3 linked regions of the Arabidopsis thaliana genome follow. The protein of the gene in region 3 binds, or shares a complex with, the protein of the main gene of each other region. Each region holds a gene or a part of one and is shown on either strand. Other genes may lie near its edges. A codon is read from its position in the direction of its gene.

Region 1 (4,183 bases), on a different chromosome or scaffold from region 3:
CCGCGAGTCTCCGCCGCATCAAACCGGTGATACTCACCAGGAGCAACTAGAGGAGGCTTCATAGAAGAAAGAGAAGGATGAAGCTGCCGCTTAGAAGATGGGAATTGTTGAGGTACTTCTTCAGACATAAGAACGAATCTCGATAAAAAATCCCCCAAAAAAAAAAAGAAACGGCGAAAATTGTCACGGAAACTCGGATCTCCGGTAAGCAGAGATCCCAATAACGATTAAGAAGCAGATCTACGGCGGGAATTACGGAGATTCCGGGAAGAGAATGTGAAGAGATCGGCGAATCGAAAAAAAGCGGGAGAGGAGAAGAAGATGAAGAAGAGGAAGGATTATAAAAAAAAAAAAAAAAAGAGACGGTGGAAGAGGAAGAGAGAAAACGAGGGAATGAGTTGCGTTTGGTTCTGAATACTGATGTGGAGGGAATTAGCGCTCTTTATCTCTCTCTTTGTACACAAATCTTTTTACCAATATCTCTCTACTAAATAATAATAATCCTATTTTTATATATAATACAAAATTATAAAATTTTAAGTAAGTTTTTTTTTTTTTAAAGTCAACGAAGTTAATAAAGCTATGTAACTAATTTGGATACAGTTTTATTTCCTTGAGATTGAGGGGAAAAAAATGAATTTTGGATTTATTCATGTTAAGAAGTGGAGCATAATAATTTCATCAAACTGTTGCAGCATCCGTTACACGCGTTAAGTGTGAGCAATTATCGTCAAAATCTGTCGAACTTATACGTTTTTTTGTTTTTAATTCATAGGTGAGGCAAAACTATATTGATGAAAATTATGCTCATGAGTGTCTCATCATTTAACAACTTTTTTAAATGGAACCTCGAAACATAGGGATTCCAAATCATAGCACCAAGACAATAGAAACATGTGTCGTCTGAATGCAGACACTTGGATCTCTTATGAATGCTATACTGTTTAGAGAAGATAATATATATTTATAGACTGAGCTTCCAAAACACAAGCTTTAAGTATGACTGTATGAGTAATCAAAAAAGATACTAAGACTTTGAAAGCTTCATACATAACAAACAGAGACAACAATAGAAGAACCCCTTTTTACTTGAACAAATGGGCAAGATCAGGGTCATCTAAATCTACATCAAGCGATCCATTTAACCGCATAAACTCGATGTAGCTATCTGGAGGAGTGATCGCACGAGTGTTGTTCTTCGGTTTGAATCCATGAACTCTCTGGAGATCTCTTGCGAGCCAACGCAGAAAAACTTTGTCCAATGGAGGTACAATCTTCAAATGGATCTCTTCGCGTTCTTCTTTCACCGTTGTAGCTTTGTTTCCCATCTTGCAAAACCCGATCTTTACATACATCATATATAGTATCGTCACATTGTCCAAACCACAAAAACAAGTTATCTAGTCAACAAGATGATTATGCAACACTTTTAGCAGATGCATTTTGGGATTAACACTTAACACAATCTATAATTTCTCCATGCACACCAATATTGCAAGTGTGTAACATTTACATGTTCGGATGCAAATTATCTCGTGAATAACACAATCGTCAATTCGTCATAACCATCTAAAAGGAGAGACTAAAAAGTTCTATAGAAGCTATACACTAACCTTAAGGACCATCAAAACCTTAATTAAGAGACCAAACTATTATACATCAACCAAGTAATCATCTCAGCGTCCATTTTTAAAGCTATCTTTGTTCCACTATGTCCAAGAATCATAAGATCCTCGAGCAAATAAATTGTACAAGATGAGACATCTATGAACCACCAATTCAAGGTCAATTCTTCAAGATGATTAACATGATAATATCAATTAGAAATCAACTCATTCATGAATACTAAGTCTACATTTAAAACCCCTAAATCAATGAGAAAACTGGAGAAATTACTTCAAATTTCTATCATCACTATATACCCAAAAAATCAGGTAAAATCCTAGCCAGCAAATTAAGCTTAGCGATATGATATAGATTCAAGAGATTTTACCTTTTTCAATCAGAGAGACAAAACATCAGAAACCGAAAGTGAGTCGAAGAATTTCTGACCAGACAGACACTATAGAGCGTTTTGCAGAGCTAAACCAATGTCGTATCGCTAGCTGTATGTCATTTTCTGGGTTAAGCCTAGTAACATAAAAAGCCCATTAGCTTTCACTTTTTCTTTGGGCCAACTGTTATGGTTTAAATGTGGAAACATAGCGACGAATGCTCAAAAAGGTGAACTACACTCTACAGAGACTACAAGTGTGGGTTTAGTTGCAAAGTGACTAAGTTTGTTGACGAATATTCGCTATAGTAATCATCTTTTTTTCCTTTTTTTGCTTTATGAATTTGTAAAACCAAAATTTTATGAAATCACAAAAGTTCTAAAGTTAGGAAAAGAAAAAAAAAAGTGTTGTTTTTGTTTGTTTTCATCTCTCACGTTATCAAGTTGATCAGTTAATTTTGTATTTATGAAAAGAAATTGATAACATTTTCTATGGAAAAGAAAAAGGATAATTGTGCTTCACGCTACACACACGGTAAGGTGTGCAAATGTCGTCACCAACGTGACGTTGATGTCACAACTCACATGTATTAAGTCATCATCTATTACATAGAATCATACATAACTAAGAATCTACACTTGGTTTGATGGGATTTTTTTGGTGGATCTGTTTTCAAGTGTCCATCAAATATATGTTTCTTGTTGCAATTGTTGCATCAAAACATATAAAGTTAATACATGATTTAAGGAATCATCGGGATTGTGATTTTGAATTGTTGCTTGCAAAAAATTGGTTTTAAGAATTAATTTTTAACATATTAATTTTTTTTACGTGTGATTGAGAATACTGATCAATCCTCATACGAGGCACACCAAACATGAGTTTGTGCCAACAAGCCCTTTGAAAATATTTCTTAGAAGAAAAAAACAATGACAATATATTTTTGTTATTAATTAGAAAATAGCTACTTTTTTAAAAATGCCAACTTTATAATCTGTTTGGAGTTTCTAAAATGTCAGAAACAGTTTTGATTATTTAATACTATTAAACTCTTACAAATCAGCACCTTGTAGGTCAATTCATTGAAAACTAATAATGTTTGCACATTATAATAGAAAGTAGGATAATTATTTTCAAAGCTGAAGTTATCCATAAGAAAACAATTTTGGGAAGAAATTAATTTACTCGAGAAGTCCGCATTCAAGTTCACATGACAAACAAAAAGTCTTTGGAGCTAAAACTTTAGTACCCAACAAACCAATAGCAACAAGGGAAAGGAACTGATATTTAGGACAAAGTGAATGTGTAAATATGATTTTGTCATTTCCCCATGAAATCCAAAAATATCTTGTAGTACATTTTTCAAAATTTTATAATCCCAAAACATAAACAAAGTGTTTCTAACAATAAATAATTCAGATTGCTAATTTTTAAAATTTATTTTTGGTGTGTTTTATATTTAAATATTTCATTCCATAAATACCAGCAGCTACATAGTCGTTGTCATGTGATTCATATCCAACTAGAAAATAAAACCACTATTGTAAGCTTTGCCTAATCCTGACAATTTCGTGTGCAGGCTGGAGAGTACTAAAAATGTCAGGATTAATTTCATTCATGTGTTAAATCTTTTATATATATGCTAAAAGCCTAAAACTCCACGTAAATTTAACATGAGTACTTCAAATAAGTATCTCGTAGTTCTAAATCATCAAATTTGTTTATCATACGTACGTTTGCCTAATGAAAACTATCTACTATTAAAATTGAATTGGATAAAAAGGAATACATGTGATGATGTGAACTTACTAATATGTTCTGCTTTCGCTTTAGTACCATGGACATTACTTAAACGAACAAGTTTAATTAGCGTTTTGTTCTTCCCTTCTTTTAACACCCTTTAGATAAATTAACTAATAAGTCAAATCAACAACAATTTGCTACAGCCCTATAGTTTACCTTTATATCTCCTTTAACACCCTAGAAAAAAAAAGATTCTTCTTCTTGTTTTTCATACGTCAACAGCACATCGCTGAACAAGCTGGTACTTGATCGCCGGACCGGTGCCGGTTAACTTTCCGGTGACGGTAATGAACGCAGGACAGTTAACGTGGAGGCGATAACTGCCAGAGACCCACGAGCCCACTTTCCACCTAACCCAACCGTCTATTTTGATGTTGAGAAGCACC
Region 2 (7,672 bases), on a different chromosome or scaffold from region 3:
TGTGATGAGCCATTAACTTTGAGACTCTTGTCTTCAAGATTGACATATCTAGGATCACGAGCTTCCAGAGTTTTCTTGCTTATTCTTCGTTCTGGCAACACAACTTTGCAGATCAACAAAGCGTTGTTCACAAGAACATGCTCATACACATCTTGTAACTGGCCTTTTCTCAGGAGACAAAAGTTGTTTTCTTTCTCAGTGGCCTGAGGGAAGACAGAACTCGTGGAATTCAGTGTCTTTGAGACTGATCCATCAGTGTAATTCCCAATTCTATCTACAAAATAAATTGATTTCTTCAGAGGAACACAATATAGCAATCTCTGGAATATACCCCCCAAGTTAAAAGACCCTAAATTTGTTTCCTTAATTAACATTTGAAATGATAACGGAATCTCTCTCAAACAAGGAAGAACACTTACCTGCATTACCATAATCATCATGGCTTTGGCCAAGCTTGGAGTAGACGAGGAAGAGGAAGCACCAGAGTAAGAGAACGAGAGAGATAGAACGCTCGAAGAAGCTGCCGCTTCTGGAATTAAAATTATCAGCCTTGTCGGAGATTCTGACAATTCGAAACCTTTGCAATTTTTCATTCAGGCATATCGTCGAACAGCTTCCGCGCCTCGCCATATCTATAAAGCAGAGAAGAGATCTATACTCGTGTGTGACATGCACAGATGGAGAGAGTCAAGAGAGATCGTTGGTTGTATGACTATGACCTGTATCTGTAGAAACCGAGAAGAGGGCACGAGGAACAAGAGCAAAAGAAGACGGATGAAGAAGAAGAAAAAAGGTAAGAAAGAGAGTGCATGACTCGTGTTGTTGCTGTCTTGTGTGGTTTGAAACAAAGAACCAAACTTTTTGTCCGTCGATTTCCTCGGAATTAAAACTTTTTTTGTTTCTAAATTTATACTTAAGTTTGTCTAATCTATTGTTAGCAAATCAAAGAAGTGTCTTTGACCCAAGTTTTTTTCTTTATTTCTGTAAATTTAACTGTCCGAAACTTCAGAGATTGAGTCGAAGTTACAATGACGGACAATGAATAAACCTAAGCTTAGTGATTTGATGTCTCTGGGACGCCGGAATCATACTTGAGCATTGACGTCGGTAGAGTGATTAACAAGGACAAAGTCGCCGGATTCACGCCGGAGATGTTCAGGGACAAAAGGAAGACTTCCCGGATTTTGCTCTTGTAAGAGAGAATTTAACGGAGTCTGAGGAGGGTAATGGTCAAGTATGAAGTCTATTGCTTCTCCACTTATCTCTTTCTGGTTCAATAGAACCTACACATGGGAAAATAAAAGTATGAACAAATCAAACGAAAACGCAATTGCGGTTAAATGTTTGAAATTACCTTAACGGTTTTGAGGAGAGCGGTTTGGTTTTGCCTGAGGAGAGAAACTGTTTTGTTATACATCTGGCTAATGAGTTCTTCGCTTCTATGTGCGACTTCATCATCCATGTTGAAGTTAACTGGCGGCTCGACGAGGTCATAGTCGTCATAGAGAGATCCTTCAAAGTCTAAGCGTGGTCCCACGAACTGAGGTCTCTTTCTCCATGGTGGTGGTTCGCCATGTATCACCATTGGGTTCTCCAGGTTCCATCTGAAATCCAAATATATATAAGTCTTGAGTAAGAAGAAGCTTTTACTTTAAAGGGGAATGTGAAAATATGCAAAATTGGGCCTCTCACATGGTTAAGATTTTACGAGCTAGCCATGAGGCGTCAGAGAGATAATCGACTGATGCCTTTGAAGTATCTGAACCGTAGATCACTTCTTCTGCAGCTCTTCCTCCGAGCAAGACCTGAAATAGAAATTTTAGAAGTATAATAAACTCGTAACATCGAATATTAGAGAAATGAGTGAAGAGTTTTTTTAATAGAGAAAAAGAAGCACCTGAAGACGATGAAGCAGTTGTGGAAGACGACCAAACATGTAGGACTCATCATCAAGCCGATGAAACACAACTTGAGACAGTGTCTGACCACGAGGAATGATAGAAACGCGATCGCACCGCTCAATCTTTGCATTCTCATACCGCAATAAAAGATGTGAAGTGATTGCCACTCCGACTTCAGTTGTGGCTCTACGACACTGACCTTGATGTCCCAATTCTAAACCAATACGTGTCGGACCAACAGTGAGTCGGTCCACAGCGTCGTCCATGTCTGATTGAAGAATCGAGTTATGCGTTTTCCTGACAGCTACAAGAGCAGCCTCTTGAACCAACTGTGCCAGTTTTGCTCCGGACCATCCTGTAATTGATATAAACAATTACTTTAATCAAAGTTTTATACAGGCCAATACGTTCAAACACATAAGTTGTCTATGGGAAAAGGTACACCATGAGCATAACAAATATTCTTTGCAACATCAATTGTAGATTTTATACCTGGTAAGTTACTTGCATAAGATGATAAGTCAACAGAATCCGACATCTTGACTTTGCTGGCATGAATCTTCAGAATATCCAATCTCCCTTTCGCATTAGGGGGACGGACTCTTATCTGATAAGAAGATTATTTTTAACGGTCTATCCGGTACTCTTAAGTCTACAAAATTAATGCAAGATAAATTCAAATGGCTTGCGATTGTCGTTTGGTTGTTTATTAATTCGAATAACTGCTATCAAAAATTTGAGAACAGAAGATTTAGTGTCTAGATTTTGTTAATCACAAACCTTTCGATCAAATCGACCTGGACGTAGAAGAGCAGGGTCTAACAAATCTCTGCGATTGGTGGCACCCAAGAAAATCACACCTTTGCCTGTGTCAAAACCATCAAGCTCGATGAGTAGCTGGTTCAATGTGGTTTCTCTTTCTTGTGTGGCCGCATTGTACAACTGGTCTGAGTTTTCCTTGAAAATCCCTTGACGTCTAACGAATACCAAAATATAAAGAGCGATATCAGTTAAACTCCGTCTCAAGTTGAAAAATTATGCAAGGAAGGTAGTATATCAAAATCTAGATACAAGGGACGAAAATATTGTATACCGAGTTGCTAAGGCATCAATTTCATCGATGAAAATAACGGATGGCTTGTTTACCTGCACAAGGACATAGACATCATCAAATACTATTTAACATCTCTGCACAGAAATGTATAAATACACATATGTCCAATCACCTTAGCTCTTTTAAACAGATCTCTGATACGAGCTGACCCAACTCCAACAAGAACTTCGACGAATTCAGATCCTGCCATTTGGTAGAACGGTACACCAGCTTCCCCCGCAATGGCTTTTGCAACGAGTGTCTACGAAAGCAAATCAGGTTAGGTTAGGCTCTATATTGCTAGCAACTGGGTTGTCAAAAGATCCTTGTAGATAAAGCTAATCGACTACAATAAGAGGTAAACTGATCATTGACAATTGTATAAAACATTGAGATTTTATAAGATCTCAATCGAGAATAGGAATCAATCATAACTTGTTAATAGCAACTAAACATTCAAAACTTTTTTAAGACAAATTTCAGGTTTAAGTTGAAGGAGTAGTGATGATATTGCCAAACACTCAGCATACTCTGAAATACAACCATCAACCTCAGCAGAATTGATCTCAACAGGCACCACTGCATGTTTGATTATCTATAGTATTTCTTAGTATTCTAAAGTATAATGCTGCTACAAAAATACTATTCAATACTTAACAATAAATCTTTTCGATTGGCATTAGCATAGATGGTTACACATACCTTGCCACAACCAGGGGGACCCTCCAGAAGAACTCCATGGGGAGGTTTAATTCCCATTTTATCAAACAGGTCGGGATTCTTCAAGTACTTTACAAGCTATCAAGAAAATGAGATAATCGTAATGAGACTAAGAGGTTAGTAAGCTTCAGATCCCGGTTTCTCTCGAGCTTCCAAGATTCAACGAAATAATGTCATGCAACTTTATACTTGATGGGGTAGCAGTGAAGCCCTAATGGTAAGGGTTTTAGAGGCTAAGCTAACCAAGAATGCACATAATAAAACAAGAGATCCATACTCAGGGAAGAACTGGCGCAAGCATACTAAAGTAATTGCACGAGAAATTTGGTCAAGCGATACCTCTTGAAGTTCATCAACTGCTTCATCAATCCCTGCAACATCAGCGAATTTAACACCGGTTGAACCCTGAAATATAATCATTGAAGTCATAAAAAACTCAACCAAAAAAGTATTAGAACTGAAGAAACATGCATATAGGAGTAATGGTTAGAAACTTACATCAACACGAGCTTCTGCTTTAGACTGAGAAAAAGCAATCCCTTGCCATAAATCCTGCAAAAACATTTGAAGTGATTGAGGGCGCAAGCGATATCAATAGATTCTGCAAAAAAGTGTTGAGTGATTAAAGTATTATACCCATTTCCTAAAGTTCTTTGGTCTCCGTGACAGTGTGAAACGAACAAGAAGAACCATAGTCATGACAACAAGTAGGATTGGTTTGAGCATCTCCAGACTTGATGCTACACCACCAAATGTATAGAAATCAGAAATCCTTGAGAAGATGCCCCCATCGGCGAGAACATCAACAATGTAATCCCATGATTTTTCAAGAACACCAAGGAAGACGCCAACAAAAAGTTTGAGGAATGGCTTTGCTATAGGCCAAACAACATATACTGTAGTGACAAAGGCGAAACTAGTGACTGCAAAAACAGCTGAGGCTAAGAATCCTCCAACAACAACTGCGGCTGCAGCAATAACTGCTGTCACCATTCCCAGCTCAACCATCACTCTACTTGAAATAGAAGACGCAACAGGGTTTGGGAAGTCCGCCACTTTTCCAACCCAAGACTGCAAACATATAAACTCAGTCAATAACAGAACAAAATAGATCTGTTTGTCAACCTAGTGAATAGGTTATGAAAAATTCCTAACCAACACAATACAAAAATATTGAGGACATTAGATTATATAATCTAGTAGATAAGATCTAAATGAACAAAAGCGTGATCACCGTCATGTGCCTTTCAATTTCGTACTGCGGACCCGTGTATTCTTTCAGAAGAGCTTGAGCTTCTCCAACTTCAAGCTTCATTGACCTATCAAGAAACAGATCAATAAGAAAATCATACCAATATTCTCCATACATCAAAATTAAAACTTTTATTCTTCTTCTTAATCCTAGTAATTCACCATTTGGTTCTCTGTAAGCTCTTGACTCCAGGAATCTCCTTAAGATCAACAATAAAACCTCTATAGCCACTCGTATAAGAAACACCAGAAACTTCCTTCGATGTAAGCAGCTTAACTTTATCATTCTCCATAGCTTTTCTAAAATCTTCCAAACTCATCTTTGGTAAATCTTTCACATTTTTCTCAAACTCCTCTTCTTCAGATAACTCTGGCCCAAAAACTTGCTCCGGAACATAAAGCTTTCCTTTGTACTCCCTCAAAATATCACTCAAATAAACAGACTCTTCGCTTTTGTCTGTCTCTGTTTTCTTCTTCGAATCAAACTTCCTTTTGATAAATTCAAACGCACCCGTCGCCGCATTGGTGCCTTTGCTTAAATCTTCTCTCTCCTTCAGATTATACAGCTTATCACCAACTCGGTAACGAGGTTCCACTTGGCTAGGATTCTCCTTCAAAACCCTAGTTACGAAATCGTCAGCAGCAGGGGAATTGTTCGTCTCGCCGGAGCTAGATGACCCAGTTTTCAATTCGCACAAAACTGTAAACGACCGACGCAGAATTGGAGCTCTCCATCGAGTTTGAGTTCTCGCGGAGAAACTCGATGTAGTCGCGTGTTTCAATATCGATCTCTTGGGGTTTTCTGGGATTGAGAACCGAGTACCGAGTGAGAAAACATTGTCTATAGACGCCATTTTACGACGATAACCATGTACAGAAGAAAAAGAAGCTTCACTAGAATCGCATTGCGAAATTTGAATCTCTCTTCGTTCTGGATAAGAAAATAGAGCAATCGGAGGTTTATTCAATCTCAGGAGGTTTTTGTTCTGTTAGCTCTAAATTACAACAATTCGACCCGACTTCGAAACCCGGTTTCTGTTCCGGGTACATTGTTTGTTCACTAAAATAATTTATTTAGCTCTAGTCGGCCACCTTCGCTGCATCACACACACTTAAGTCCAAACTCCGTTGTAACGTTATCACTATGTCCAAACAAAACATCCTTTTGCTTTTACACGTCGTTTTGCTTTCCCTTTAACCAAAAATAAACTCTTTATCCCAACTAGTGAACACTTAAATCATCGCTACCAAACATCTCCACCGAGAAATGTCGAAGTCTTGTTCAAACCTCGCTTCATGCGCCGTCGCCACGCTCTTCATAGTCTTCTTAATCATCGCCGCACTTACTGTTTATCTCACAGTCTTTAGACCGAGAGATCCTGAGATCTCCGTCACTAGCGTCAAGGTTCCTTCATTCTCCGTCGCTAATAGCTCCGTTAGTTTCACCTTTTCTCAATTCTCCGCCGTTAGAAACCCTAACCGCGCAGCTTTCTCACACTACAACAATGTAATCCAGCTCTTTTACTATGGAAACCGGATCGGTTATACCTTCGTACCTGCTGGTGAGATCGAATCGGGTCGAACCAAGCGTATGTTAGCTACTTTCTCCGTTCAGTCGTTTCCTCTCGCGGCGGCCTCTAGTTCTCAAATCTCCGCCGCCCAATTTCAAAATTCGGATCGGTCCGGGTCAACAGTGGAAATAGAGTCGAAGCTGGAGATGGCGGGTCGGGTTCGGGTTCTCGGTTTGTTTACTCACCGAATCGCGGCTAAATGTAATTGTAGGATCGCGATTTCCTCGAGTGATGGTTCCATCGTAGCCGTCCGTTGTTAATATTAAAAAACAATTGTAAAAGTGACATGGTTATTTTTCAAAAATACATGTATGTGAAGTGAAACCTCTTGGGTTCTTTTCTGAATCCATCAAGTTAGAAAATTGCAAATATTAATACAAAGCTATTGTACTTTTAGATTTTGTACGTATACTAAATTACAACTTAACACGAAATTTTCGGTTGCCAATTGTAATAGCCTTAACATTAGTCTACATAGATATGCATGCTTTCCATATTCTTTGTTTGGATTAACGTTTTCTGTATAGTAAATACACTTATAGCCATAACGTAGGGCCGGGTATTCGGGTATGCGGGTCGGTTCGGGTAATACCCGATCGGGTACGGGTATACTGTTCTAGAATCCAATAGAGTAAATAGAAAACTTCGGTGGTTCGGTTCTAATCGGGTTTGGGTTGGTTCGGGTATAGAATTTTAGAACCGTTAAATACTCGAAAAAAACGGGTATCCTTCGGATTCATGTATTTTATATCCAAATACCCAAAAATTTACCCAAATACCCGAAATTGTACCAAATACCCGAAATTTGTACCCAAATAGTCGATAATTTTACCCAAATACCCGAAATTATACCCAAATAGTCGAAAATTTTACCCAAATATCTGAATTTTACCCGAATAACCGAAATTTTGTCCAAATATCCAAAACATTTACGAATATTTTGCATATATAAAATATTTAGTATTAAGTATTTAAATATAGGTACATTTAGTTTTTAGTAATTATTATTGGATATTTGGATATAAATGTATTTGGTTCAAATATTAAATATAAAATAAATTTTTATATGTATAAATCTATGAATAAGTATATGTAATTTCGGATAAGTTGATACCCTTTCGGGTATCGGGTTTGGG
Region 3 (8,506 bases):
TGAATTTGTACTTTTGAATGCATCAAGCTAAGCGCCTTCTTGTTTTACTGTTTCAATCTATCAATTGTTCTATATAGAAGTGTTTTTAGTTCTTTGATGCTGAAAGTGATGTACTTTTCTGTTACTGTCAATCTCTTTGCAGGTAAAGGTTTTGCCACAGGAAGAATTAGCCTAGGAGAAATAGAAGTGGTGAAAATCACCAAGTTCCATCGAGTTTGGAGCTCTGATTCATCACACGACAAATCAAAACGTGCTACATTTTACAGAGCCGATGACATTCCAGAAGGATTCCATTGCCTTGGTCACTATTGCCAGCCAACCGATCAGCCCTTGAGAGGTTATGTACTTGCAGCTCGGACTAGCAAAGCCGTCAATGCTGATGATTTCCCGCCCTTGAAAAAGCCTGTGAGTTATTCTTTAGTTTGGAGTGCAGATTCAGAGAAAAATGGTGGTGGTTATTTCTGGCTACCTAATCCTCCGGTTGGTTACAGAGCAATGGGAGTTATTGTAACCCATGAACCAGGTGAACCTGAAACAGAGGAGGTCAGATGTGTAAGAGAGGATCTTACAGAGAGTTGTGAAACCTCTGAGATGATACTTGAGGTGGGTTCTTCGAAGAAGTCGAACGGCTCTAGTTCTCCTTTTAGTGTATGGAGCACCCGACCTTGCGAGAGAGGGATGCTGTCACAAGGTGTCGCTGTTGGGTCATTCTTTTGCTGCACGTATGATCTGTCGTCTGAGAGGACGGTCCCTGATATCGGATGCTTAAAGAATCTTGATCCGACCTTACACGCGATGCCAAATCTCGACCAGGTCCATGCGGTTATCGAACACTTCGGACCAACAGTCTACTTCCACCCAGAAGAGGCTTACATGCCTTCATCTGTACAATGGTTCTTTAAGAATGGAGCTTTGTTGTACCGGTCAGGGAAATCAGAAGGTCAACCGATTAACTCCACGGGCTCGAACTTGCCTGCTGGAGGATGCAATGATATGGATTTCTGGATAGATCTTCCTGAAGACGAAGAAGCAAAGAGTAATCTCAAGAAAGGAAACCTTGAAAGCTCGGAGCTTTACGTTCATGTGAAACCAGCACTTGGTGGAACTTTCACCGACATCGTTATGTGGATTTTCTGCCCCTTTAATGGCCCAGCCACGCTCAAAATCGGCCTATTCACGTTACCTATGACCCGCATAGGAGAACATGTCGGTGATTGGGAACATTTCACTTTCCGCATATGTAATTTCTCTGGTGAGCTTTGGCAAATGTTCTTTTCTCAGCATAGTGGTGGTGGTTGGGTTGATGCATCAGATATTGAGTTTGTGAAAGATAACAAACCGGCTGTGTACTCATCTAAACACGGACATGCGAGTTTCCCTCATCCAGGAATGTACCTCCAAGGCTCGTCAAAGCTCGGGATTGGAGTCAGAAACGATGTTGCAAAAAGCAAGTACATTGTGGATTCAAGCCAAAGGTATGTGATAGTAGCAGCTGAGTATTTAGGTAAAGGAGCTGTGATAGAGCCGTGCTGGTTACAGTATATGAGAGAATGGGGTCCGACCATTGCATATGATTCAGGGTCTGAGATCAATAAGATCATGAATCTTCTTCCTTTGGTTGTTAGGTTCTCTATTGAGAACATTGTTGATTTGTTTCCCATTGCTCTTTATGGAGAAGAAGGTCCCACAGGGCCAAAGGAGAAAGATAACTGGGAAGGAGATGAGATGTGCTGAAAGAAGACAAACCTCTTTGTGATCAAGACGGTTTAATGGAAGATGAAGTCTCTTGTTGAATCGGAGGGTTTTGATCTCTACTCTACTAGTAATTGTGACTAATATGTAATTTACAGTATACTAGAATAGGGTTTGATCTTGGTGGTTGTAATTTGTTGATGTAAGACCTAAAACGCTGTGTTTGCGGCTGTAATCAGCTGCGACAGCTCATGAGCAATATGAATGATTGATTTTGTTGTACTGCTATCTTCTCGTATCTCTCTGTGTTCTTTACGCTATTGGTTAGATTGAATTCATAACCACCCCCAACTGTTCCGGTTTGACACATCGTTCCGGTTAGTGTGTAGTATTGGACGAAATCGGTTATTGATAATTCGGTTCCGATAATCGGTTTTAATAATGTGTATATTGTAAACTTGAACCGTTCTCTAGTCTCTATCTCTTTCTCTTTCTTCTGATAAACCTCTCGGCACTGCGCTGTGTAGTGAGCTTTCACTTCCGTCGTTAGCTGCAGTTTAAAATCCGGCGAATTGCGGACGGAGAATTCAATCATATAGCATTATTGAGGAGCTGAAATGGAGGTTGTGACAAAGATATGGTGTTGATTTTCACTTCGCCGTTATTGCTGCGATGGATTTCATTTCCGCTTCTTCCTTATCTTCACCCTTTTCCACACAGTTGTCTCCGATTTATTTGAGCTCAGGTATAGTATCGTTAAAGCCTAGACATCGAGTCAAAAATCGAAACTTTGGGTCTAGAGAATCCAATAATAAATCTAGGAAAATTGTGCCCATTAGAGGCTGCTTTGGTTTTTCCGGGAGTTTTTTGAGGTCGAAACAGTCTGATTACGGTAGTGAAGCTGTTTCGGAATCATTGAGATTATGTGGAGAGGGAAATGAGCTTGTGCTATCTTCCGAGTATAATAGCGCAAAGACGAGAGAGAGCGTAATACAGTTTGTTACCAAGCCTCTAGTTTACGCCTTGTTTTGTATTGCAATTGGACTTTCTCCGATTCGCTCTTTTCAAGCTCCAGCTTTAGCTGTGCCTTTCGTCAGTGATGTTATTTGGAAGAAAAAGAAAGAGAGAGTGAGAGAGAAAGAGGTGGTTTTGAAAGCAGTTGATCATGAGTTCTCGGATTATACTCGGAGATTGTTGGAGACAGTCTCGGTTTTACTGAAGACTATTGAGATAGTTAGAAAGGAAAATGGAGAGGTTGCTGAAGTGGGAGCGGCTTTGGATGCAGTTAAGGTGGAGAAGGAGAAACTGCAGAAGGAGATAATGAGTGGGTTATATCGTGATATGAGGCGGTTGAGGAAGGAGAGAGATTTGTTAATGAAACGAGCTGATAAAATTGTAGATGAGGCCCTAAGTTTGAAGAAACAGAGTGAAAAACTGTTGAGAAAAGGTGCTAGGGAGAAAATGGAGAAACTGGAAGAGAGTGTGGATATTATGGAGAGCGAGTACAATAAGATATGGGAAAGAATAGATGAGATTGATGATATCATTTTAAAGAAAGAGACAACAACATTGAGTTTTGGGGTTAGGGAGCTTATTTTCATTGAAAGAGAGTGTGTAGAGTTGGTTAAGAGCTTCAACCGAGAATTGAATCAAAAAAGTTTTGAAAGGTGATATCTCTAGCCATGATTTTAGCAGATATAATATTATTCTACCTTACCTATAGCTGAGATTTTGGTTGCCCTTTAATGAGGATATTTTAACAGTTGATTGTCATAAGCTCATCTTTTTGCAAGATTTCTCTTTGCATTCATCTTATTGCGTGCACTTCTAGCGGTGATGGTAATGTTGTATCTTTTACTTGTTAGATTACCAATTATCTTGTTTGTACTCCTGCACCTAGTCTAACTGTATCTTTTTGTTGGCTTTTATATATGTTTTTAACATGTCTATGCTGTTTTTCCTGTCGACATAAATGTTTCATGTTTCACTTACAAGATCAATTGATTTTCTGGTTGTAGTGTTCCTGAAAGCTCCATTACAAAACTCTCGAGGTCTGAGATTAAGCAGGAATTAGTGAACGCTCAAAGAAAGCACTTGGAACAAATGATACTGCCCAATGTTTTGGAACTAGAGGAGGTTGATCCCTTTTTCGATCGTGACTCAGTGGATTTTTCTCTACGCATCAAAAAACGCCTTGAGGAATCAAAAAAGCTGCAGAGAGATCTTCAGAATCGTATCAGAAAACGTATGAAAAAGTTTGGTGAAGAAAAGCTTTTTGTTCAAAAGACTCCAGAAGGTGAAGCTGTCAAGGGATTTCCTGAAGCAGAGGTGAAATGGATGTTTGGAGAGAAAGAGGTGGTTGTTCCGAAAGCTATCCAGCTCCATCTACGCCATGGTTGGAAAAAGTGGCAGGAAGAAGCAAAAGCCGATTTAAAACAGAAACTTTTGGAAGATGTTGATTTTGGCAAACAATATATTGCGCAGAGACAGGTAACTTTTGGCTTATGATATGAAGTACTAGCCCAAAAGTATGTGGTGTGTTTAATATGGTGGATGGAACAATGCTTTATGTTTTTCATGGTAGATAAATTACACTCTTAGCCTTGCGATTAGCATAATTAATCTATAGCTTTGTATTCTTGGGTGATGGAAACCTCAAGAATTGCCTTGGTGTTGGTAGGTTCTGAAGTTTTTTTTTTATATATATTGAATATGCAATTTCATGTGTTATCTTCTCGAGCTATAAAGTAAATCAGTTTACTTGGGCAAGTGAGAAGCACTTAATTTTTTTTTGGCTCGCTGTAATACGTAAAATGAGACAGTTTTAGTTGAAACCTTGTTGAAAAGTTTATGTACATATGTGTCTTTTGCAGAGTTTATTTTCCCATGTATTGATCATTCACCAATTAGTTAATGAATTTTTAAAATCTGAAGGAACAAGTTCTCCTGGATCGAGATAGAGTTGTTTCGAAGACTTGGTATAACGAAGACAAAAGTAGGTGGGAGATGGACCCTATGGCTGTTCCCTACGCAGTTTCCAGGAAGCTGATTGACAGTGCCAGGATTAGGCATGATTATGCTGTAATGTATGTTGCATTAAAAGGAGATGACAAGGAGTTTTACGTTGATATCAAGGTTGACCAGTTGAAGTCCTTCTCTATTTGATGGATTTTTAAGTTTAGGCTTTTAACTTTTGTCTATGGTTGTAGGAATATGAGATGCTATTTGAGAAATTTGGAGGGTTTGATGCTCTGTACCTCAAAATGCTTGCTTGTGGAATCCCAACTTCTGTTCATCTGATGTGGATACCCATGTCAGAGCTAAGTCTTCAACAACAGTTTCTGTTGGTTACAAGGGTGGTTTCTCGAGTCTTTAACGCATTGAGGAAGACTCAAGTTGTATCAAATGCGAAGGATACAGTATTAGAGAAAATAAGGAATATAAACGATGACATTATGATGGCGGTTGTGTTTCCAGTTATCGAATTTATCATTCCTTACCAGGTATAATGTACGCTCGCTGGATATTTTCCTCCTGTTTCCCTGTGTCTTTTCTTTTTGTTTTATGACTTTTTTCTGATACAGTTAAGGCTGCGTCTGGGAATGGCTTGGCCAGAAGAAATAGAACAGACTGTTGGCTCAACATGGTACTTACAATGGCAGTCTGAAGCAGAAATGAATTTCAAGTCCCGCAATACAGAAGATTTTCAGTGGTTCCTCTGGTTTCTAATTCGAAGTTCTATATACGGGTTTGTTTTGTATCACGTTTTCCGCTTTCTAAAAAGAAAGGTTCCAAGACTTCTTGGCTATGGACCCTTCCGCCGAGATCCCAACGTACGGAAATTCTGGAGAGTGGTATGTAACTTTTCTTTCTCCTTATGCTTCTCTTTCCAACACTCTCAATTTGCGTGAGCAGTAGTATTGTAGCTAGTACACTTACAGTTGATTACTAAAATCAGTTTGATTTGTTTTGCAGAAATCATATTTCACTTATAGAAAAAGGAGAATCAAACAAAAGAGAAAGGCTGGAATCGACCCCATAAAAACTGCATTCGACAGAATGAAGAGAGTGAAAAATCCACCTATCCCATTAAAGAACTTTGCTAGTATTGAGTCTATGAGAGAAGAAATCAACGAGGTTGTGGCATTTTTACAGAATCCAAAGGCATTTCAGGAGATGGGAGCCCGCGCACCTCGGGTATGTTGCTTTACGGTTGTGTGCTTATTTTGTGGGATAGTGTCCGATTGTAAGCATGCTTATTCACGCTGCAGGGCGTTCTTATTGTGGGTGAGAGAGGAACGGGAAAGACGTCACTGGCGCTCGCTATAGCAGCCGAAGCAAGAGTGCCTGTTGTCAATGTTGAAGCTCAAGAGTTGGAAGCTGGGCTATGGGTTGGTCAAAGTGCAGCGAATGTCAGGGAACTCTTTCAAACTGCAAGAGACTTGGTTAGCTTCTTTGCCTCAGATTTTTTTGTTGATTCATTCATTTTCATAGATATTAAATTTTGAGTTCTCATGATATTCAGGTTCCGAATCTTATGTACATCAGTTTCAATGTCATCTTATGTTCTGATGTTTACTGTGATGACTAGGCACCTGTAATCATTTTTGTGGAGGATTTTGACCTCTTTGCTGGTGTACGCGGGAAGTTTGTACATACAAAACAGCAAGATCATGAATCGTTCATTAATCAGCTTCTTGTTGAACTTGATGGGTAAGAGCCAATTTCTATGTTGATTAAAAATTAAGACCAGATTTGAAGCATTCATAGCGGTTTCTCAAAGTAGCATTCTCCTTTTTCCGGTTGACTTTTCTGATGTCATTCCACTTTATAATTTCTACTTATGCAGCTTTGAGAAACAGGATGGCGTAGTTTTGATGGCGACGACACGAAATCATAAGCAAATTGATGAGGCGCTAAGAAGGCCAGGTCGTATGGATAGAGTATTCCATCTTCAAAGTCCAACTGAAATGGAAAGGGAGAGGATTTTACACAACGCTGCAGAAGAAACCATGGACCGAGAACTCGTTGATCTAGTGGATTGGCGTAAGGTGATCTTAAGCTTTGCAAAGTTGTTTATATGTGCTAGCGATTATATATGTTTTTACCTATTGTCTATTTTCTTTTGCACCTCCAAAGTTTTGATGGTTCATTTCTATTATGGTTGTGAGTACTATATCATGTCGTGTTTCTTCTTTCTTGGGTTTATCTCTCTGTAGTTCTGTTCCACTATTTTAATAACCAGTTCATGGTTACAGGTTTCAGAGAAGACAACTTTATTAAGACCGATAGAACTGAAACTTGTTCCAATGGCTCTCGAAAGTAGTGCCTTCAGAAGCAAATTTCTGGACACTGACGAACTTCTGAGTTACGTTAGCTGGTTTGCGGTAAGAAATTTGTCATTTTCGTCGCCTAAGGTCAAACCATTTTTTGTTCATTTCTTAGTATGGTTTCATCAGGTGATTTCTTTCTCTTTTCTGACAGACGTTTAGCCATATAGTGCCCCCATGGCTGCGAAAAACTAAAGTTGCAAAGACAATGGGCAAAATGCTTGTGAATCATCTTGGACTTAACTTAACCAAAGATGATTTGGAGAATGTGGTTGATCTGATGGAACCATATGGACAAATAAGTAATGGAATAGAACTTTTGAATCCTACTGTTGATTGGACGAGGGAGACAAAGTTCCCACATGCTGTCTGGGCGGCTGGTCGTGCTCTCATCACACTTCTAATACCAAACTTTGATGTTGTGGAAAATCTTTGGCTTGAGCCTAGTTCCTGGGAAGGAATTGGGTGTACAAAAATCACCAAGGTCACAAGTGGAGGCTCCGCGATTGGGAACACGGAATCAAGATCATATCTTGAAAAGAAGCTCGTTTTCTGCTTTGGATCTCACATTGCATCCCAAATGCTTCTTCCTCCCGGAGATGAAAATTTTCTTTCTTCTTCAGAAATAACTAAAGCGCAGGAGGTAAACTCTGTCTACTGTTTTGCGGTATGCTGTCATCTACATACTTAATGTTTCGTTTCCCCATGATTATTATTTGTGTCTTGCAACAGATTGCAACACGTATGGTGCTTCAATATGGCTGGGGACCCGATGACAGTCCTGCAGTATACTATGCTACTAACGCGGTAACCTTCATTGTTTTACTTGAAATTGGTTCCATTCCAAGACTAAATGTCTGATACCACTGAACCAACATGTTGAATACTGAACATGATGATTCGATCTTACATACAGTTTGCATTCATTCTGATGTCTCATCTGGTCAGTTGATTGACCTTATACTTTTTTTTCTTTCTGTTTGGTTTATTTGATTCGAATGAGCAGGTTTCAGCTTTGAGTATGGGGAACAATCACGAATATGAAATGGCGGGTAAAGTTGAAAAGGTTTGTTTTGCTCTCTAGTTTCCAATACGTTCTTAATATCTGCCAGTGTCATTGGTGCCTCTCTAGTGTTCGCAATTTTCTATCTTCAGCTTCGCTTTTCAGTTGGTTCAAGCATTGTCCAAGGCTAAAATACATAACCTCTCTAATGTCATCTTGTTCCTCTACAGTCTCTAATGTCATCTTATTCCTTTACAGATTTATGACTTAGCGTACGAAAAGGCAAAGGGAATGCTCCTTAAAAATCGACGTGTCCTTGAGAAAATCACAGAGGAGCTACTCGAATTTGAGATTTTAACTCATAAGGTACGAAGTTTGGATCAACTTAGAGTGAAGGATGTTCCAAACAACCTCTCTGCATATAAAATATCATCAATTTTGTTTCCTCGTAATGGTTTGCAGGATTTGGAAAGAATTGTTC

What was found.
Region 1: the proteins of emb2458 (region 3) and AT5G22210 are in contact, whole or in part, in a cryo-EM structure (PDB 8XKU), measured with the Arabidopsis thaliana proteins. Residues at the interface, in NP_187084.6 of Arabidopsis thaliana: Lys294 (codon at 3,244), Phe302 (codon at 3,268), Arg305 (codon at 3,277), Phe309 (codon at 3,289), Arg404 (codon at 3,925), Ile405 (codon at 3,928), Arg408 (codon at 3,937), Glu424 (codon at 3,985), Phe431 (codon at 4,006), Pro432 (codon at 4,009), Glu435 (codon at 4,018), Val436 (codon at 4,021), Val446 (codon at 4,051), Val447 (codon at 4,054), Pro448 (codon at 4,057), Lys449 (codon at 4,060), Gln452 (codon at 4,069), Leu453 (codon at 4,072), His454 (codon at 4,075), Arg456 (codon at 4,081), His457 (codon at 4,084), Gly458 (codon at 4,087), Trp459 (codon at 4,090), Lys461 (codon at 4,096), Trp462 (codon at 4,099), Gln463 (codon at 4,102), Ala466 (codon at 4,111), Lys467 (codon at 4,114), Leu470 (codon at 4,123), Lys471 (codon at 4,126); in NP_680207.1 of Arabidopsis thaliana: Glu14, Ile15, His16, Lys18, Val20, Pro21, Pro22, Leu23, Asp24, Val26, Phe27, Leu28, Trp30, Leu31, Arg33, Arg37, Val38, His39, Phe41, Lys42, Pro43, Lys44, Asn45, Thr47, Arg48, Ala49, Ile50, Thr51, Pro52, Pro53.
Region 2: the proteins of emb2458 (region 3) and FtsHi1 are in contact, whole or in part, in a cryo-EM structure (PDB 8XKV), measured with the Arabidopsis thaliana proteins. Residues at the interface, in NP_187084.6 of Arabidopsis thaliana: Arg815 (codon at 5,878), Gln902 (codon at 6,359), Lys934 (codon at 6,591), Glu938 (codon at 6,603), Arg942 (codon at 6,615), Pro943 (codon at 6,618), Asp947 (codon at 6,630), Arg948 (codon at 6,633), Thr1148 (codon at 7,537), Glu1149 (codon at 7,540), Ser1150 (codon at 7,543), Arg1151 (codon at 7,546), Ser1152 (codon at 7,549), Leu1154 (codon at 7,555), Gln1198 (codon at 7,776), Tyr1199 (codon at 7,779), Trp1201 (codon at 7,785), Asp1205 (codon at 7,797), Pro1207 (codon at 7,803), Ala1208 (codon at 7,806), Val1209 (codon at 7,809), Tyr1210 (codon at 7,812), Tyr1211 (codon at 7,815), Ala1212 (codon at 7,818), Asn1214 (codon at 7,824), Ala1215 (codon at 7,827), Val1216 (codon at 8,029), Ser1217 (codon at 8,032), Ala1218 (codon at 8,035), Leu1219 (codon at 8,038); in NP_567691.1 of Arabidopsis thaliana: Ser497 (codon at 3,196), Val500 (codon at 3,187), Glu653 (codon at 2,221), Leu656 (codon at 2,212), Arg660 (codon at 2,200), Leu678 (codon at 2,146), Arg684 (codon at 2,128), Gln692 (codon at 2,104), Gly693 (codon at 2,101), Arg696 (codon at 2,092), Arg697 (codon at 2,089), Gly731 (codon at 1,987), Gln732 (codon at 1,984), Leu763 (codon at 1,799), Arg766 (codon at 1,790), Val771 (codon at 1,775), Ile772 (codon at 1,772), Tyr773 (codon at 1,769), Gly774 (codon at 1,766), Ser775 (codon at 1,763), Asp776 (codon at 1,760), Thr777 (codon at 1,757), Ser778 (codon at 1,754), Lys779 (codon at 1,751), Ala780 (codon at 1,748), Val782 (codon at 1,742), Leu785 (codon at 1,733), Ser786 (codon at 1,730), Ser789 (codon at 1,721), Arg793 (codon at 1,709).

What each region holds. Positions count from the first base shown.
Region 1 is NC_003076.8:7,356,694-7,360,876, reverse strand, and holds AT5G22210 (aspartyl/glutamyl-tRNA (Asn/Gln) amidotransferase subunit B), read right to left. Parts: upstream 2,100-4,183; 5' UTR 1,994-2,099; intron 1,344-1,993; 5' UTR 1,329-1,343; coding exon 1,086-1,328; 3' UTR 826-1,085; downstream 1-825. Other genes in the region: E2F1 (E2F transcription factor 1), read right to left, coding at 1-128; AT5G22200 (Late embryogenesis abundant (LEA) hydroxyproline-rich glycoprotein family), read right to left, coding at 4,006-4,183.
Region 2 is NC_003075.7:12,435,255-12,442,926, reverse strand, and holds FtsHi1 (FtsH extracellular protease family), read right to left. Parts: upstream 5,820-7,672; coding exon 5,128-5,819; intron 5,034-5,127; coding exon 4,949-5,033; intron 4,786-4,948; coding exon 4,351-4,785; intron 4,267-4,350; coding exon 4,213-4,266; intron 4,120-4,212; coding exon 4,054-4,119; intron 3,793-4,053; coding exon 3,697-3,792; intron 3,257-3,696; coding exon 3,128-3,256; intron 3,048-3,127; coding exon 2,995-3,047; intron 2,878-2,994; coding exon 2,682-2,877; intron 2,509-2,681; coding exon 2,394-2,508; intron 2,257-2,393; coding exon 1,898-2,256; intron 1,806-1,897; coding exon 1,693-1,805; intron 1,605-1,692; coding exon 1,355-1,604; intron 1,284-1,354; coding exon 1,086-1,283; 3' UTR 897-1,085; downstream 1-896. Other genes in the region: AT4G23950 (Galactose-binding protein), read right to left, coding at 1-274, 420-630; AT4G23930 (Late embryogenesis abundant (LEA) hydroxyproline-rich glycoprotein family), read left to right, coding at 6,233-6,796. UniProt on the Arabidopsis thaliana protein: Functions in chloroplast biogenesis and chloroplast division. Required for plastid development during embryogenesis. Might be involved in chaperone functions or play a structural role in the thylakoid FtsH complex.
Region 3 is NC_003074.8:1,147,200-1,155,705, reverse strand, and holds the start of emb2458 (FtsH extracellular protease family), read left to right. Parts: upstream 1-2,055; 5' UTR 2,056-2,364; coding exon 2,365-3,359; intron 3,360-3,710; coding exon 3,711-4,182; intron 4,183-4,626; coding exon 4,627-4,827; intron 4,828-4,901; coding exon 4,902-5,195; intron 5,196-5,276; coding exon 5,277-5,546; intron 5,547-5,667; coding exon 5,668-5,889; intron 5,890-5,963; coding exon 5,964-6,137; intron 6,138-6,283; coding exon 6,284-6,405; intron 6,406-6,541; coding exon 6,542-6,743; intron 6,744-6,950; coding exon 6,951-7,079; intron 7,080-7,176; coding exon 7,177-7,665; intron 7,666-7,754; coding exon 7,755-7,829; intron 7,830-8,028; coding exon 8,029-8,088; intron 8,089-8,283; coding exon 8,284-8,391; intron 8,392-8,487; coding exon 8,488-8,506. Other genes in the region: AT3G04350 (vacuolar sorting-associated protein (DUF946)), read left to right, coding at 143-1,734. UniProt on the Arabidopsis thaliana protein: Required for plastid development during embryogenesis. Might be involved in chaperone functions or play a structural role in the thylakoid FtsH complex.